Linked DNA regions of Lytechinus pictus. The protein of the gene in region 1 purifies or fractionates together with the protein of each later gene. This does not show direct contact. Links are inferred from orthologs where the notes say so. Each region holds a gene or a part of one and is shown in the gene's direction. Other genes may lie near its edges.

What was found.
Region 2: the proteins of WD repeat-containing protein 76-like (region 1) and lymphocyte-specific helicase-like purify together in Homo sapiens (affinity purification with mass spectrometry; 4 studies listed by BioGRID and IntAct, counting the BioPlex papers as one, with this or other methods). This does not show direct contact. The link is inferred for Lytechinus pictus from reciprocal best matches to the Homo sapiens genes WDR76 and HELLS.

What each region holds. Positions count from the first base shown.
Region 1 is NC_087250.1:12,391,748-12,400,622, forward strand, and holds the start of WD repeat-containing protein 76-like, read left to right. Parts: upstream 1-4,822; 5' UTR 4,823-4,975; coding exon 4,976-5,113; intron 5,114-7,109; coding exon 7,110-7,343; intron 7,344-7,972; coding exon 7,973-8,077; intron 8,078-8,875. UniProt on the Homo sapiens protein: Specifically binds 5-hydroxymethylcytosine (5hmC), suggesting that it acts as a specific reader of 5hmC.
Region 2 is NC_087260.1:1,348,553-1,357,428, reverse strand, and holds the start of lymphocyte-specific helicase-like, read left to right. Parts: upstream 1-4,692; 5' UTR 4,693-5,003; intron 5,004-8,876. UniProt on the Homo sapiens protein: Plays an essential role in normal development and survival. Involved in regulation of the expansion or survival of lymphoid cells. Required for de novo or maintenance DNA methylation. May control silencing of the imprinted CDKN1C gene through DNA methylation.

The sequences.
Region 1 (8,875 bases):
CCCACCTGGATATATAATGGTGCGTCCCTAAAGGGGTACTCCAGGCTGAAAATAATATATAACAGACACGTAAGACCAGAAAAACAAAACACTGCAAACTTGATCAAATCGGGCACAGAATATGCCTTTGTGAAGTTACAACACTATATAAAGGATAAGTCCACCCCAACAAATTGCTGATTTGAATAAAAAGAGAAATATCCAACAAGCATAACACTAAAAATTTCATCAAAATCGGATGTAAAATAAGAAAGTTATTACATTTTAAAGTTTCGCTCAATTTCACAAAACAGTTTATATGCACATCCTGTTTGGTATGCAAATGAGGAGACTGATGACGTTATCCACTCACTATTTCTTTTGTATTTTATTATAGGAAATATTAAATATTTAATTTTCTCCTCATTGTTAAGGGAAACATCGATTAATTTCTCCCTGAACATGTGGAATTAGCATTGTTTAATACTATATGGTTCAGTCAAGTTGGTCCTTATTGTCAAATGTGTAAAAAATGAAATATTGTATAATTCAAACAATAAAAAACAAAAGAAATAGTGAGTGATGGACATCATCAACTGATTCGTTTGAGTTGTACATATCACTGTTTTGTGAAAATAAGCGAAACTTCAAAATGCCATAACTTTTTTTATTTTACATCCGATTTTAATGAAATTTTCAGTGTTATGTTTGTTTAAATTTTCCTTATGGGGGAGCAAGAGCAAAACAATTGCAAAACAATTGGTATGAACAGGCAATGACGTCACAAAGCAACAAATTTGAGAGGGCGATCTGGTGTATCGGGCAAAATAAAAATTTAAAAAGATGCGAGCGAGTTAAAAAAAAATATGATATTTTCATTTTAAAATTCCAATTTTGTGATAGATTTTGACATAATGTTTAAAGCATAATATCATATTTTACTAATCTCTCTCTCCCTTTCTCTTTTTTTTCTTGGTCTGTACGCCACGCTGAACAGGATTTTTTTTATGATTGTGCATGCGCGAGCATCAGGGCGAAGCTCTATACTCGAAGGGGGCCAGTATGGCGCGTGTGGCAAGAGGTAGCTCCCGAGTAAGCGAAGCGAGCGAGATAAAATAAATCACCTTTTCGTGAGAATATAACTTTAAGATAGATTTTTACGTGATATTCAGAAAAATATAATAGGGCCTACACTTTTTCTTTGCTTTGCTTTCTTTCCTCCTTTCTTTTTTGTTTGGTTGAAGAACTTTTTTGGGCCATGGTTCAAATTTTTCCATACAACAGTGCTATGTGGGTGGGGTCCGGGGCGGAGCCCCCGGAACCTCATGATACTATAAAGTCATTTTAAACCTTACCGATGGCCACTATTTTAAAAATCAAATTGCGTCTATATTATATAGCTTTCACAGTGACACAACACATAAATTAATTGCAGTTGCGTAATATTTTATCCAAATATTTTGAGGGGGCACACCATACTAAATGGGAGAAAATTTGTAAAAAGTTCCCAGCGAGCGAAGCGAGCCAGAATGAAAAATGGACCTTTGAAATGAAATTCTAATTATGTGATAGATTTTTACATGATAGCAAACAACATGTCATATATTGTTTCCATTCATCTAATTTCGCTGCCTCGTTGATTTTCGTTAATTTCCCCTTGGCTGTGGAACCACCCCCCCCCCCGTACGCCAGTGCTTCAACGCAAAGCTTATAATGCAGGAAGGGTCCATACAGGGGCCCGTTATATAGAGCCCTTTAAGGACGTTCCACAGAACATATTTGTGCGCATTATGATCTGCGCATAGTTTACACTCTGCGCGCTGACGTCACAATGGATGAACAGGTGATAGCTGCGGGTATGAGCTGATTTTTCTCATCTTCTGCACTTTAACTGCAGATCCGATGCGTTATTTCATGAAGCTAAAAAATTGAATTATTCCATGGACCATTCAAAAATATATTCTCTACAATTTCAAAATACTTTACTCTGCAGTGCTGCCAAGAATCACGAATATTACCCCGAGTTTGAATAAATGGTAGAGTGGTTTTGATTTTTTCTTCACATAGATACTAAGCATTTGGCCCATTTTTTGTGTTTTAGAAAGCACATTTGCTCTAATAAAAATGCTGATAGTTTAAAAACAAGCACATGAACCCCTATTTTTTAATGTTTGCACCTCTTAGGTATACCTTCCTCTACAACTCTGCAAATTTTGGTGAAAATGACATGGATTTTGAATAAAGTGCAGCATTTATCGTACGTTTGTAGTTTGTTACTGAAATTTTACATTTTTTAGATTGGGATTTTGTTATCTTTTACGCCATTTTTAAGAACTGACAGTGCTGTTAAACTTAAAATTGCAAACAAATAGCACTATTAATAGATTCTCCATTCTAACGATACAATTATCAACTCTCTTGCGAAATTTGATGACTTTTTCATGTATTTTGACTGAGTAATAGAGGTTTAAACTCATTGTAGTAATCTTGGGCGGTCTAAAAATGCCAAATTCTTTTGAATGCGCAATTCTTAAGAACATCAATTTGGGTGAACTTTGAAGCTCTATAGCAAAAAATCAAGCACATGGACCTATGTTAATTTTTGCATATTTCGAATATTAAGGTTCTAAAGTATCTATGTGCAAAGTTTGGTGAAAATGACATGGATTTCACTTTAACTGTGGAACGTCCTTAAATGTTACAGATGAAGAGCCCCTACTGCACGGGGTCTTGGGCAGAGCCCCCGGTAGCTTTGGAGATTTAGCAAGCTTATATAGAATTTCGTACATTATGCTATTATGCCATCCATCTTTTAGATGTATTGCTGTACACATGCATGACCAAATTATTTGGTACCCCCTAAACGAGTTTTTCTCTGTGTGCAAAATAATCCCCTTATCAATTTTTTTCGCGCGCTTCAGTCATATTGGCCCCTAAACAAGTTTTGTCTCGGGCCCGAACACTTTTCAGAAACGAGGAGGAGAAAGCACCTTTTATTTGAAAATCGGTGTTTTTGATACCCTTGAAAGGCCACCGCACACCTTACGACTGGTCTGCGACCCGATTTCAGAATAAAATGTAATAGAATTTGATGCTAGTATTGAGACTTGGAATATCTTACTGTGTAATGTTCGAAATCATCGTATACCTATGATCAAATTTGTGACTATGCTATCATCCTTCTTAGAATAAAAGCGAATTTAATATATAGTCGTTATGACGTCATAGGAGTCTTACGATTGGGTACGATTTGAAACTAATTTGGACTTTACTCCAAAATAAGGGCATGCAATCTTTCAAAATTGTTATAATATTATTATTTCAATTAATTTTAACCTCAAATAAAATGATATGTTCCATTCACATCTTCAGAAAATGAGCAAAATGCGATTTGTTCCAAAATCGGGTCGCGGACCAGTCGTAAGGTGTGCGGTCGCCTTAACGAGTGCACTCGCGGCCCGCGTCCAAAACTGAAAAAAAAAACCAACACCCCTTTAATAGCGTTTTTTGGTCATTTTTTACAGCAATATTTTTGACTGCCCCGGGGTTTTCCCTTTTTATGTGTTTCTTATAGTTTTCTGTTCCCTTTCATTTCCCTTTCCTCCCCCCCGGCCCCCCCCCTTTCCTCCTTTTCTTCCTTTTCTTTCCCTTTCCATTTCTTTCTTTCTTTTTTTCTTTCTTTCTTTCTTTCCTTCCTTCCTGTCTTCTTCCTTTCTTTTTTCCTTCCTTCGGCATTCCTTTCTTTCGTTCTTTCTTTTTTCCTTCCTTCGACATTCCTTTCTTTCGTTCTTTCTTTTTTCCTTCCTTCCTTCCTTCCCAAGTTCCTCCTTCCTTTCTTTCTTTCTTTCTTTTGTTCTCTCTCCCTTTTTTCTTTTTATTATAATTTTCCCGGTGAAATCCGCCAGGGGGGCGGGGGAGCTTGCCCCATTCTGCCCCCCGCCTGTTACGCCACTGCCTATAGCCTACTATGGGGGTACTATGATCTTACTGAGATCATAATCTTTTTCACTGCATGCACCGAAATAATGCTCACTTTAAAATGTCACAACCTTGTTATCCTTTTAGTATTTTGATAATTTTTTAATTGTTTTGTAGGTCTGATTTTACTTAAAGGACAATTATAAGTCCACCCAAGCAAAAAATTGATAAAATTAAAAGAGAAAAATCCAACGAGCATAACACTGAAAAATTCATCAAAATCGGGAATAAGAAAGTTTTGACATTTAAGTTTTGCTTAATTTCATATAACAGTTATATTCACATCCTGGTCGGTACGCAAATGAGGGGACTGATATGACATCACTCACCTATTATTTATTTTGTATTTTATTATTCATAATAATATGAAATATTCCAGTTTTCTTCCCGTTGTAGCCTACTATATAGTTTTATTCCTCCTTGAACATGTAGAATTACCATTGTTTTAACATTTTATGGTTCAGTCAAGTTGGGCCTTGTTTTAAGATCTGTAAAAATTGAAATATTATATAATTCAAACAATGAAAAACAAAAGAAATAGTGAGGGACATCATCGACTCATTATTTTGCTCGTCACTGAGTTGTACTGCATACATGGCATAGGGCCTAACTGTGATAAATAAGCGAAACTTTAAATTGTCGTAACTTTCTTATTTTACATCCGCTTGTGATAAAATTATTAGCGTTATGCTTGTTTGATTTTTCTCTTTTGATTGCAATCAACATTTTCTGGGGTGGACTTGACCTTTAAGACCTTTAATCTGTTCAAATCAATATTTTTATGCAGCACTACGTATTCGTCTTCTGAAACACCCCTTCCCTCCCCGGGGACGAGGTTGCAGCAAGCCGATGTTTCGTAATCAAAGCGCGCGCAATTTATGTAAACATGACTTTTCACGTGCATAAACACGACATACCGTATATACTGTGCATGTGCTGTGTGACATCAATTGATAAATTCGTGGATCTGTCTGTGACTGTGTACATGCTCTCGACTGTTCATCAGAACCTGCTATAAATGATCGCAACTAAAACATTTTATAAATCAGCTAATATGGCCCCTGTAACTCGCACTCGAAATCCAAGACCAAAGCGAGAAGGAGGTTCTGAACTTGAAGCAGCCGAATCAACATTGGCTTCGAAGAGAGCAAAGCGGGTAAGTCATGCAGGCTCTTGTTGATTTCATCGATGGTCGCCGCCGAGGGATGCCGGGATCTCGCCGGACTTTGACTTGTAATGAACCGAACCGTAGCCTGGCCAGAGACGAAGCTGTCACTGTCACTGTATTCAGCTTCATATTTTAGTGTGTTAGTTAATTCTTACATCTAATTCTAGAATTATGATATTAAATTCAAATGTATAAAATGATATTAGGAACCTGTCAGCTGTCTTATTTGTTTTAATAATTTAATTTCTTTAATAAAAATAAATAGATTGACATAGGCCTAGTTAGGCACTTAGTTAGCAGTAGAGGCGCACGGCCAATATTGGAGACTGTCTCCAATGTGGGAGATTATCTCCAATATCAGAGACTTTTGTAAAGAATTTGGGTATCCAATTTCAGAGACAGTCTCCAGTTTTGGAGACCAATTTCCTTTGTTTACATTTGCTGCAAAAGGATTACCTTGGCGGCAAATAAAAATGTGATAAGGAGATTCCTCATGAAAAATTACCCCTTTTCACCGTCTACTTTAAACATTCACCGTCTACTTTTGTTTTGATAAGGATTTTTGTTGTCAATCACACACAAAACAAATGGACTTCTGACCTCAGTGAGACAAACTTTTGGGTGGAAAAAATAATGCTTTTGTTGGTGTTTCTTTTGTCCTTTTGCAAAGCAAGTCTCCAATGTGGGAGATTGCCTCCCCTATTGGAGAGAGTCTCCTATATTAGCCGTGCGCCTCTACTGGTTAGGGTCTAACTTGTTAGGCCTATATAAGTTACTAAAACTCTAACCCTAACGTCTGACATTTGGGCGAGGCAGTATAAGTTTCAGGGAAATTTAATCTAAGTTAATTAAAGTTGAATGTTACTTTATGTTAGCTGGCTTTGTTTGATTTTAAAATTTTTATTGGGTCAGCCTTAAAAAAAGGTAGGCCTAGTATTTTGAATGCAAAGTCAGTACTATTAATTACAAACAATAACTTATTAATCTAAGTTAATTAAAGTTGAATGTTACTTATGTTAGCTGGCTTTGTTTGATTTTAAAAATTTTATTGGGTCAGCCTTAAAAAAGGTAGTCTTTGGAATACAAATTAAGTTAGTATTAATTACAAACAATAACTTATTAAGACAGAGAAATGAAGAAGAGGAAGTCTGGAAAACAGAAAATATAACGATGGCATGCAGCCTGCAGGACTTCCTCGATGTAGCCTTCGAGTGCTTAAAGGTCAAGTCCACCTCAGAAAAATGTTGATTTTAATCAATAGAGAAAAATCAGACAAGCATAATGCTGAAAATTTCATCAAAATCGGATGTAAAATAAGAAAGTCATGATATTTTAAAGTTTCGCTTATTTTTCACAAAATAGCTATATATGCACAATTTAGTCACATGCAAATGAGATAATCGATGATGTCCCTCACTCTCTATTTCTTTTGTTTTTTATTGTTTGAATCATACAATATTTCAATTTTTACAGATTTGACAATAAAGACCAACTTGACTGAAAAAAAAAAAGTTAAACAATGGTAATTCCACATGTTCAGTGCGAAATAAAACTTTGTTTCACAGGACAATGAGGAAAAAATTAGAATATATCATATTTCATATAATAAAATACAAAAGAAATAGTGAGTGTGTGATGTCATCAGTTCCCTCATTTGCATACCGACCAGGATGTGAATATAACTATTTTGTGAAATTAAGCGAAACTTAAAATTGTCATAACTTTCTTATTTTCCATCCGATTTAAATGAAATTTTCAGTATTCTGCTTGTTGGATTTTTCTCTTTTTATTCAAATCCACTTATGGTTGGGGTGGACTTGTCCTTTAATTAATAAAATAACCTTGGCCAAAAAAAAGTGCCAGAATATCCCCATTCATTACTATGTTGAAGCTTTTCTAATACTGCAGATTTATCAATTAGGTTGTGAAAATTGGTCCACCGAACCTATTTTTTTCATCTTTCTATTTTTTTTTTTTTTTTCAGACTTCTGTTAGTTTGAAAGCAGAGATGCCAGATGCCGACTTGTCGCCCGCCGTCAGACGCTCACCAAGAGTTATGAAAAAGGACGCAAAGGTGTCGCTGACCAGGACAAACATCTTGAAGGAAAATGTTCAGAGAGGGAAGGAAAAGGTGAAAAAGGAAATCAAAGAGGAGGAGGATGAAGAAGAGGAGAATGCGGATATCAGACCTCTAAAAGAAGAATCAGATGTAGAAATGGTAATAATGATATTTCATTTACTTAGGGTAGCCACTATAGTTGGGAATGATAATAATAACTCTTATTTACCCAGTATTACCACTATTACCATTTCAGCTGCAAGCCGTTTTTACCGCTGGTAGAGAAGAGAAACTCTACCGTACCATGACATAAGATGTTATTACTATCCTTCTCTAATCTTAAGTGCTGAGCACCTAGCGAAGGTGAAGGTCCCATTTTTATACATGTTAGTCTTTGTCAGGGGCGGATCCAGGATTTTCCAAAAGGGGGCGGGCTACATGTAAGTTCGAATTCGGAGTCCAAAGGTCACAGCTCATATATGCGAGTTGGTTCAAAGGTCTAAATTCATTGTTTTGGTTTCTGCACGATATTAAGTTCAATCATATCGAATGAATTTCTGATCGCGTTAAGCGGGGGCATCTGTGTCCTTTGGACATGTCAAATTTCTAGTTTTTTCAGTGTTTTGTTCTGTTGCATCATTATTAGTTTTTGTCTTCTATCTATCTCTGTAGGGAAGTCACTGTAGAAATAGAATTATCATTATTTAATTAGATACAGAGCATAGTTGAAATCTGTTCAAATTATTTAACTTTTATCTTCATATTTCTTCAATATTTCATTAATACAGAGTGATGGGGAGGAGACCCACCCGGGTTTATCAGAATATGAGCAGAGGAGGATGGAGAACATCTCCAAGAATGCTGAGTTCTTCGCTTCTCTTGATATCTTCAAGGTCAGTTTCTTCAGGACCATTCACATCGCTCCGTGCTGACCTTGCGGGCGAGTTGTGGTCAATCACCCCCAACTCACTCGTAACATGGTTTTGAGCATGTTCAAAACTTTTCTGGGGGCAATCAAACAAGTTTGCGTGCGCTCCTGTGGGTAACTGTCACGTGCAAGACTTGCACGGAACAATGTGACAAGGCCTTATAAATTACAAATCTTATTGCATATTATCATCTGTTTTCGTTGGGAAGTTGACACCATTCGGACACAAATCATAAAATGGAATGAGATTTATATATTCTAGGTCAGGTTCGTTAGGGTCTGAGGCCAATAAAAACTATTTTCAGAGTAAGAAATGATGGTGATAATAATACTGATAAAATGATGATGAATAATTATAATAAGGCATTCATGATACCAAAGACTATACTTGTAGCTTGAGAAGGCTGTATCAAGTTTCATTAGTTTTGCCTACATTTATAGTGGAGATGATCTGAGCTGTCAGGGGCCTGTACAGAAAAAATTGTAATTAAACACAACTACAAAATGAAACAACTTTACTTCCAACCAACCTGTTGCATGTAATTGGGACTTGCTTTTGGTTTGTTGCATTGTGTAGCTATTTCTGCCAATGATCCAGAAAGGTTTACATAATATACATTGAACAGTTGACCCTTTGACCTTCATTGCTCCATTAATTGCTCTTTTATTACTCTTCAAGCCCACAAACCCGAGCAATAGACCCCTAACATAACTTACATTGGATGACATTTTACCTTTAATGATCTTTTGACCCTTTGATCGT
Region 2 (8,876 bases), on another chromosome or scaffold:
TGTTGTTGTTGTTATAATTATTAATATTGTTATCATTATTATTATTATCATTATCATCATCATTATTATTATTATCATCATCATCATCATCACCATTATCATCATCATCATCATTATTATTATTGTTATTATAATAATCATTATCATTATTATCAATTCCTGATTATACATGGTAATATAGCCTGCAGACTGTTCACCAGAGGGCCCTAGCTGTCACAATATCTACAAATACAAAAAGCAAAGGACAACAAAAATAGAACGATTTTTTTATTCAAATTAACTTTTAGTTGGGATGGACTTGGGTTATCACATCAGGATCGTTTTTTTTTAGCTATAGCGCTTTGCATCTTAGAGAGATATCATATATTTACAGTTCTTAGCAGGTCCATTTCCCTGTTGAGTATAGCGCCTATATTAGAAATTTGAACTCGTGCTTCGTGCTCGCGATTTTGTGAAATAGGCAAAAAAAAAATCATGTCCGTTTGAAAAGCCTGGTGCCTCCACTGGGAACAATAACTTCTTCAATTTGTCAGCAGATAGTCAGTAGGGGTCCTACATGTGAAACCACCCCCGGTCCCCCCACATGCCCACAAGAATGAAAATACATCCCTAGATTACAATTATTAAAAATGTTATTAGTAGTGCACTATAATTTTTTTTTGTGGCTATTATCCATATTCTTCTTAATTGTTATTATTATTATTATTGCTATCATTATTTAGTAGTAGTGGTAGTATCATCAATATTATTATTATTGTTATTATTATAATTCTTCTTCTTCTTATTATTATTATCATCATCATCATTATCATCAAGTCCTGTTTATGCAGGGTATATAGCCTGCAGACTGTTCACTCAGAGGGTCCTGTTACATGTCCACAAATACAAAAAGCAAAGACAACAAAAAATAGAACGATGCAAAAAAAAAAAAAAAAAATAGGCCTATAAAACATATTGTAAGTTTTCAAGAAGACATAATAAAAATCACGAAGACAACTTATAGTTTTCAACAAAAAGAAAAAATATCATGGTAGCACTTGGAGCTAGTAGGCCAGGGTTTACAAATTATTAAACTACGTCTTGTAAAAGTAAAATGAATGAAAAGCGATTATACCTGAAAAAAAAATCGAACAAAGTGATTGTGTAAACCAATACATGTATTTGAGAAAGTTGCCTTTGCTTGAGACCCGTGATTTTCTTGACAGTTGAGGAAAACTGTGCGAATATTTGGCTGTTATACAGTCAGTCCGCAGCCCGTCCGAAAGTGCTCTATTTTATTCAGCGGTATGCATAGCCGTCCGTGGTTATGCATACGTAATGAGCTGTGAAGACGAACTTTCCGATCGGTGTTTTTTGCTCTTAGAATCGTTTATTCCTCACAAAATTGGTCTTATTTTATAGATAAAACTTTGAAATTTCTGATCAGCTAAATAAAATGCACATTTAATGTATTTTGAAGACCGATATTTAGCTTAGAAAAAATGATTTTTTTCAAGAAATATATGTGAATAAACAGAGCGCATTTTTGCATCGAAATTATACTTGCGTCAAATTGATATTATAATCAATATAAAGCGTAGACATTCTTCTTTACGACTGAAAAAGAATTATGAAATTTCATGATGTAGCAAAGTCAGGAACCACAAAAAACCACGGCAATGTCCATCGCAAAATGATTGGAATTGCAGTAGAATTGCCGACGCGTTCTGATTGGTCAACAGCGGCGCACAGACTTGCAACATTTTATATAGCTTAAAAAACCCGGAAGTAGTACGGAATAGATCGATGGCGAATTGCGTAAGCGCATTGTTTTGGCGTGTGCAAGGACCCTGGTTCGAACCCGCCGGACTGTTTTTTTTTTTTTTTTTTTTGGGGGGGGGGGGGGGTGATGGGGATATGTTTATGCTTTTTCTTTAAATCATATTCCTTCATCGTTCCTACCCAGCTTTATTCTCTTTTTACTTTCATGTGAAGTTCTATTTAGGCCTGCATTTATTAAATCATGGAGCTATTAATAGCTCTATGATTAATTCTTACTTCTTCTTAATCACTGCTTTTGATTTTCAAGTTCTTGATTACACTTATTTGGGCAGGGGTGGGAAGGGAAGTGAGTTAAAGGTCAAGTGCACATCAACAAAAAATTATTTGAATAAATACAGAAATTTCCCTTTTTTAACACAAAACAGTTATATACACAAAACAATGGTATGCAAATAGAGTTGATTATGTCACTCACATCACATTACTTTTTAAATTTTTGTTGCATTTTTATTATATAAATTTTAGCAAATTTGATCTAAAAAATCTTCCTCGAATCACAATAGGTTACATTTATGGAAACTACGAATGTTAATGGAGGAATTAAAATCCCTCTCAAAATTTGTTAATGAAAATTAAAATAAAATATACATGTCATGTACATGTATCAAACAAAAAAATACACAAGAAATTAGAGTGCTTGTGACATAATCGAGTCTGTAATTTGCACATTGACCAAGATGAGCATATAATTGTTTTATAAAATTAGGCAAATTTCTCAATGTCAAAATAGTAATTTTTTTAATTTTGAATCATAGTTTTTATGAAATTTTCTGCAATACTTTATTTTTCTTTAAATTCAAATTAATTTTTGGTGGGGTGGACTTCTCCTTTACTCTTTGCTTGGAATAGGGAATGCACATTAATATTTATCCACGAACAAAATTGTCTAAACATATGCAAATCCGTAATTGGACACATGCTCACTTTCCTTTCATCCAGGCCACTCCCTCACATCCACCAGGTTTACAGTCTTATAACAAAAATGATGAATTAATTATAATACCATCACACCATAGCTCCATGATCACACAACATCCATACAGTGCTTCACAACAAATATTTCACTTCTGTTCATATATGCAATAATTACTGTGGAAAACAAAAACAAGGCGTAACCACATTCAAATACCGTTTAAAAGGACAAATATATTATACCTTCGAAAAAAAAAATTGTGAACATACATGGCACTTAACCTTCAGCACATTAGATAACATATAACAGAGTTGCTTGAGAACAAAATATGATTATGGGGCATTGCAAGAAACTTATGTTCAATTTCAATTGCAAATCAACTACATGTTTGTGTTTAATCAAAGGACTTACCCTTAATTTTGGAATGTGTGATTGAGTAGAAAGTTTCTTGCAATGCACTATTAGTAACATTAAAAATGTCCTTTGGTTTTGAATTGTGAATTTTTATTTTTGTCAAGCTGTATTCCTGTCCAAGTCAGTATTCTTAGTCCTCCCCAAAACTGTGCTCTAATTTTTTTGTTTCCAATATCGATAAAGATAAATTTTATGTTGTATCAGTCCAAAATTTGTAAACGAAATAAGGGCTTTGTCGAAATCATGGTCTGACCATTATAGTACATGATGGACTCTCCCAGAATGAAGTAGCAAGCAGAGACCAGAGTCAGCAAGTATGCAGATCTGTGTGTAGAAGAGACAAAAAAGAGAGAAATAGTCTAAATTACTAAATAACCATTCAAAGTATGAATTATGTTACATGTACGTCAATTAAGAGACTAACTAAGTTAAGTCTAAGTACTGTACGTGACAGCCACAATTTTTTTATTTGAACAAAATGGTTTATAAATACTACTGACTACTGAGTACGGTAGTACCAGACTTTTTAGTTTGACTTTAAACTGTTTATAGTCTCTAGAGTAGACTGTCTGAGCTAATCATCATTTAATTCTTAACCGCAGCCTGGGCTGGGGCAAAAATCATCATGGGGCTCAACTTCGACTAATTTAGTAATTAAGAAAAAAGGTTAACAATTTTCAACATAAATCAAGAAATATCTCAATCTATAAAGTATAATAAAAACTTGATGGAATTCGGAAACCTGATAATCATTGAATAAAACTTTAGAAGGGATCTACTTATTAAGCTTCGTTTATATCGAGTCTTAATTAAAAAAAAACAAGTCCACCGTCCACAGACACATATAATGCGAGCCATCTGCCATCATTACAGAAGTTTCAACGTATGGGACCAAAGGCGAAATTCTACCAACCCGCGACGAACGTAATTTTGGCATTATTTCGCGCCATCGTGGAGTGAACGAGAAGGTTACTTCCGGGTAAAACGTAAATTTCTCGATTTTTAGGGTATCACTTTCTCTAAAATTAAAATATAAGGTGAGTTTGCGTCAAGTTGGTTCTGACATATTTTGAACAGTGACTTTTCTTCTTTCTAAAAAATCCTGATCGAAACAATTTGGTTATGTAGCAAAGTCAGGAACCAAAAGTGAAATTCCGACTACAAAATCGCAGTTAAAATATTACTAAAATAAGCATCAATTAAAGAGGTAAAAATGGTAGGTTGAAAATGTCGAAATATGGAAAATTATATACCAAACTGTAGATGAAGGTCTTGAGAATAACTTACCACAATTCGTCTCGATGTAAACTGAAGTTAGCGACCAGTACAGAGCTATAACTTCAGCCCCTCCAATTCAGTTGGAAAATCAAGCCAAATTGATCGCACGTTTTCCTTCGGAGACCGCTAGAGGGCCGCTGAATAAATTTCCGTGAATATGCTCATTATCGCGCGAGCTGCGGTCTGACTGTATATCATTCAGTGAAGAGGATGCGCCTGCGCATTTCATTTTTAAGCTCAACTTATGAATAATTCATGTCCATAGCGGCCATGTACGGAAAAATAATACTAGTAACGTCCTTTGGGTTTGGGTACGTGCAGCGCACGTGCGTCAGCGCGCGCATGTTATGCAATGCATTTAATTTTAGCGCGAAAATAATCACTGAAATCACTAGAAGCGTTAAGCATGCATATCATGCAGCGCGCGCAGTGGAAATAATTTGAGATTTCGCAGATAGCAAACGTGATGCAGCGCATCGACGCCGACCGACGTGCAGACATTACGCAACGACAACATACGCTGCCTTTTCTTGAAATTGACCAACTTCTAGAGTAGAGACATCAGATTCGTTAGCTAGTAAGTGCCATGAATGAATTAAAAATCATTTTCAATTCTAGGATAAGATTTATCTTATTTAACTGAAACTTTACCCCCGATTGCAGCTGGTACCAGGCCAGGCCAGGTGAGCAGCAGCTGAGCTGACTGCATGCGGCTAGTTAAGCGAGGCCCGAGGTGCAGGTGTCGCGTCGTAGCCCGCGGCCCGGCCGCAGGCGCGGGGCTGAGCTGAGCCTGAATTCAATTAGTGTTGTTGACTGTTCGTAATGCTTCACGGTTTCAAGGACTTTGAATTGTTGAAATTACTTTTTGTCTCACCCATGTAGGATACATGCACGTTCTTACAGTTACACTTAGTATGATGCAAACTCGACCATGGACATGGTGACTTTTGTGTGTTCACTGTTACTGTTAGTACTGACAGAGTGAACAGTGGAGAAGGACATGCTCTATAGCAGGGGTTCTCAAACTACGGCCCGCGGGCCGGATCCGGCCCGCAGAGCTTCTCAATCCGGCCCGCGAGACTCTGCTGGGATTTTTTTTATCACTTTTAAGTCACAATATGAAAGAGCTCAATATGATTACATCGTGTATCCACGTAGACCTAACCGTAATAAAAGTAATGGCAGTCAAATTAATTCGACTTTTAAACAGAGTTTAGTGGAGTCTTTTCTGTCTGTTTTATCTACTTTCTTATTAGATGACCAGCGCAATTGTCGCTATGTTTGGATCTACATACAGGTGCGAAAGTGCATTTTCCATAATGAACATTTCAAAGAACTCACTCATACCGAAGTACCTTAGTGGCCACGGAACGGTTTTCAAATGGGGGGGGGGGGGGAGGGGGGTCTGGTCATGCAAAAAATCACAATCATATGGTCATTTTTACTTTTTTGTACATGGTTTTTGAAAAAAGGGGGGGCAGCCCCCCCCCCCCCCTTTCACGGCCCCTGCTTGACCAGTGAACATTTGCACCAGTGTCTTCGTCTGGCAATTACACCTTTTGTGCCAAGGTTCATGCAACTTGTTGCTGTCACATTTCCCATATTAAAAGTGACTAGTAGACTGACATCCTTGTTATAGTCTACAACAGACATGGTCTATTATTCATTTTACTTTGACTACAAAAAATATTGATACTTCAAGACATTATCTGTCTCCCCAATACCAGGTATGTAAAGGTACTATCTAGATTCCTTTTAATATGTTTTAAAGTACTACAATTTGTTATCATTAATATTGACTCTCGCTGTATTTTGAAATCTTTTCTTATTTTGCCTGCGTTCCATATGAAACTGTTATAAATTTGTTAGATTAAATGCTCCCAAAATAAGGGCCAGATTGCACAAGAGGGCATCTAGGACCCCGACCGCAGGGGTCTTTGCGCTTCGCGCACATTTTTTTCTAAGTATCCACTTCACGCTGGCCCTTTCAAGTTTACTTGGAGTCTCATCTGGCCCTTCAAAGAAAAAGTTTGAGAACCCCTGCTCTATAGTTTCCCTGTCTCTGTTGCAACTGCAGTTAGGTGAAGGGTGGTTGTGAGGGAAAATTCTGTGCATATTGTCATTGAGTTTGGTATGTCCTGTGAGCATCCTATTCAGCTTCACTTCTGTGGATCTTGGAAGAGAGCTGTGTGCATTCTTCCTGGCAACTGTGGGCTGGAGTTGGTATGTCCATCTTCCTTTTGTAGATCTGTCCCATCGTCGTTGCCACAGCTTCTCAGTGTTCTTACGGATAATCTTGGCACTTTCCTTGTGCAGAGTAATTTCAGAAGCTAATGATGATGAGCTTGCAGCTTCCAAAGCAGCATCCTTGGCTAGTTGGTCAGCAAGTTCATTTCCCATGATATTTGCATGCCCAGCGATCCATGTGATGGTGACAGTAGTGCCTCTACTTCTTAGAAGAGTGATGTTTTTATTAGTGCGAGACACACCCTCTGGAGCCTGCACGAACATCGCCTGAGGTACTGTTATGGTTATGTATTGTTAGATTGAAGAAAAAGTCAGAAGTTGATCTGGCTTGCATAAAAGTTGCAATTTGATCTGTGTAACCATGGCATGGTAACTGTAAGTCAGTGTAAAGAGTTGATAAAAATGTGTGCAAAATCTAGTCTTGAGGACGCAATGATGATGACTTTTTAAATCCTGTCATAATTCTTCATCATTGACGTCTTGAACAGGCCCACATAGACATAGACATGTAAGAGAACCAGGTAAATAAAGGTGGATTTCCCTTGGAAATCCATCTTTTGATGAAATAGTCACGTAAAATATTTTTATTTTATTAATTTCTACACCTTCCTACACCTAATGCGTAGGAAGGTTTAAAAAAATCTTCGGTAAAAATGATACAAAATGAAGGTTTCTTACCAGATCGATGTCGCGTAGACCCCTCGATCCACATGTAAACAACGCAAATACAATGGCGTTGACCCTTGAACCGCTTATGTATTACGCACTTCCGATAAGCCATGCCGTTTTAAAGAACAATTTATAGATAAAAAATATTATTTCACGAATATTAAAATTTATTACGTGATTATAAATAATTAGTCTAATATTGATAATTATTTATAATCACGTAATAAATTTTAATATTCGTAAAATAATATTTTTTATCTATAAATTGTTCTTCAGAACGGCATTGCTTATCGAAAGTGCGTAATACATAAGCGGTTCAAAGGTCGACGCCATTGTATTTGTGTTGTTTACATGTGGATCGAGGGGTCTACGCAACATCAATCTGGTAAGAAACCTTCATTTTGTATCATTTTTACCGAAGATTTTTTTAAACCTTACCTTCCTACGCATTAGGTGTAGGAAGGTGTAGAAATTAATAAAATAAAAATATTTTACGTGACTATTGCATCAAAAGATGGATTTCCAAGGGAAATCCACCTTTATTTACCTGATTCTCTTACATGTCTATGTGGGCCTGTTCAAGACGTCAATGATGAAGAAGTATATGACAGGATTTAAAAAGTCATCATCATTGCGTCCTCGAGACTATGCAAAATCAGGATCGAAATTGTGCTACTTCAAAAATTATTGGTTGCCCGATTTGGGCCACCAAAACTTAGCATTATTCAATAATCATTGATATTTGATAATGGTTGCCCGAGGTGAATTTTATGTCAACATGGTCAAGCCTTGTGTGCACAGAAATAAAAATGAATATTTTTCTATACAACACAATATTTAACATTTATTCCTTACAATTAATGCTTTCAGAAAATAGGCCTATAGTTTTGCATAGTGAGTTAAAGACTTATGAAGTTAAAAAGGCAATGCAATTTAAGCAAGAATCACCATGTAACGCAAAAATAGGCGACCTCGTGGCACATGGTCACATTCGTTTGAAAGGATTTTCCTTGGCAGCATATGTCCATGTCATATTCAGACATCTCATAATTCAAATGAAATTGCTCTCTTTTTTAAAACAACTTGAAGGTCAAGTCCACCCCAGAAAATTGCTGATTTGAATTGATAGAGAAAAATCAAACAAACTTAATGCTGCAAATTTCATCGAAATCTGATGTAAAATATTAAAGAAAGTTGTGACGTTTTTAAGTTTCCCTTATTTTTCACAAAACAGTTAAATGCACAACTCAGCGATATGCAAATGAGAGAGTCGATGATGTCCATCACTCACTATTTCTTTTGTTTTATTATTGTTTTACCAATACAACATTTCAATTTTTACAGATTTGACAATAAGGACCAACTTAACTTAACCATAAACTGTTAAAATGATAGACAGTAATTCTACATGTACAGGGAGAAATAAAACTTCTTTTTACTTGACAAGGAGGAGAAAATTAGAATATTTCATATATTTCATATAATAAAATACAAAAGAAATAATGAGTGGGTGACGTCATCAGTCTGCCAATTT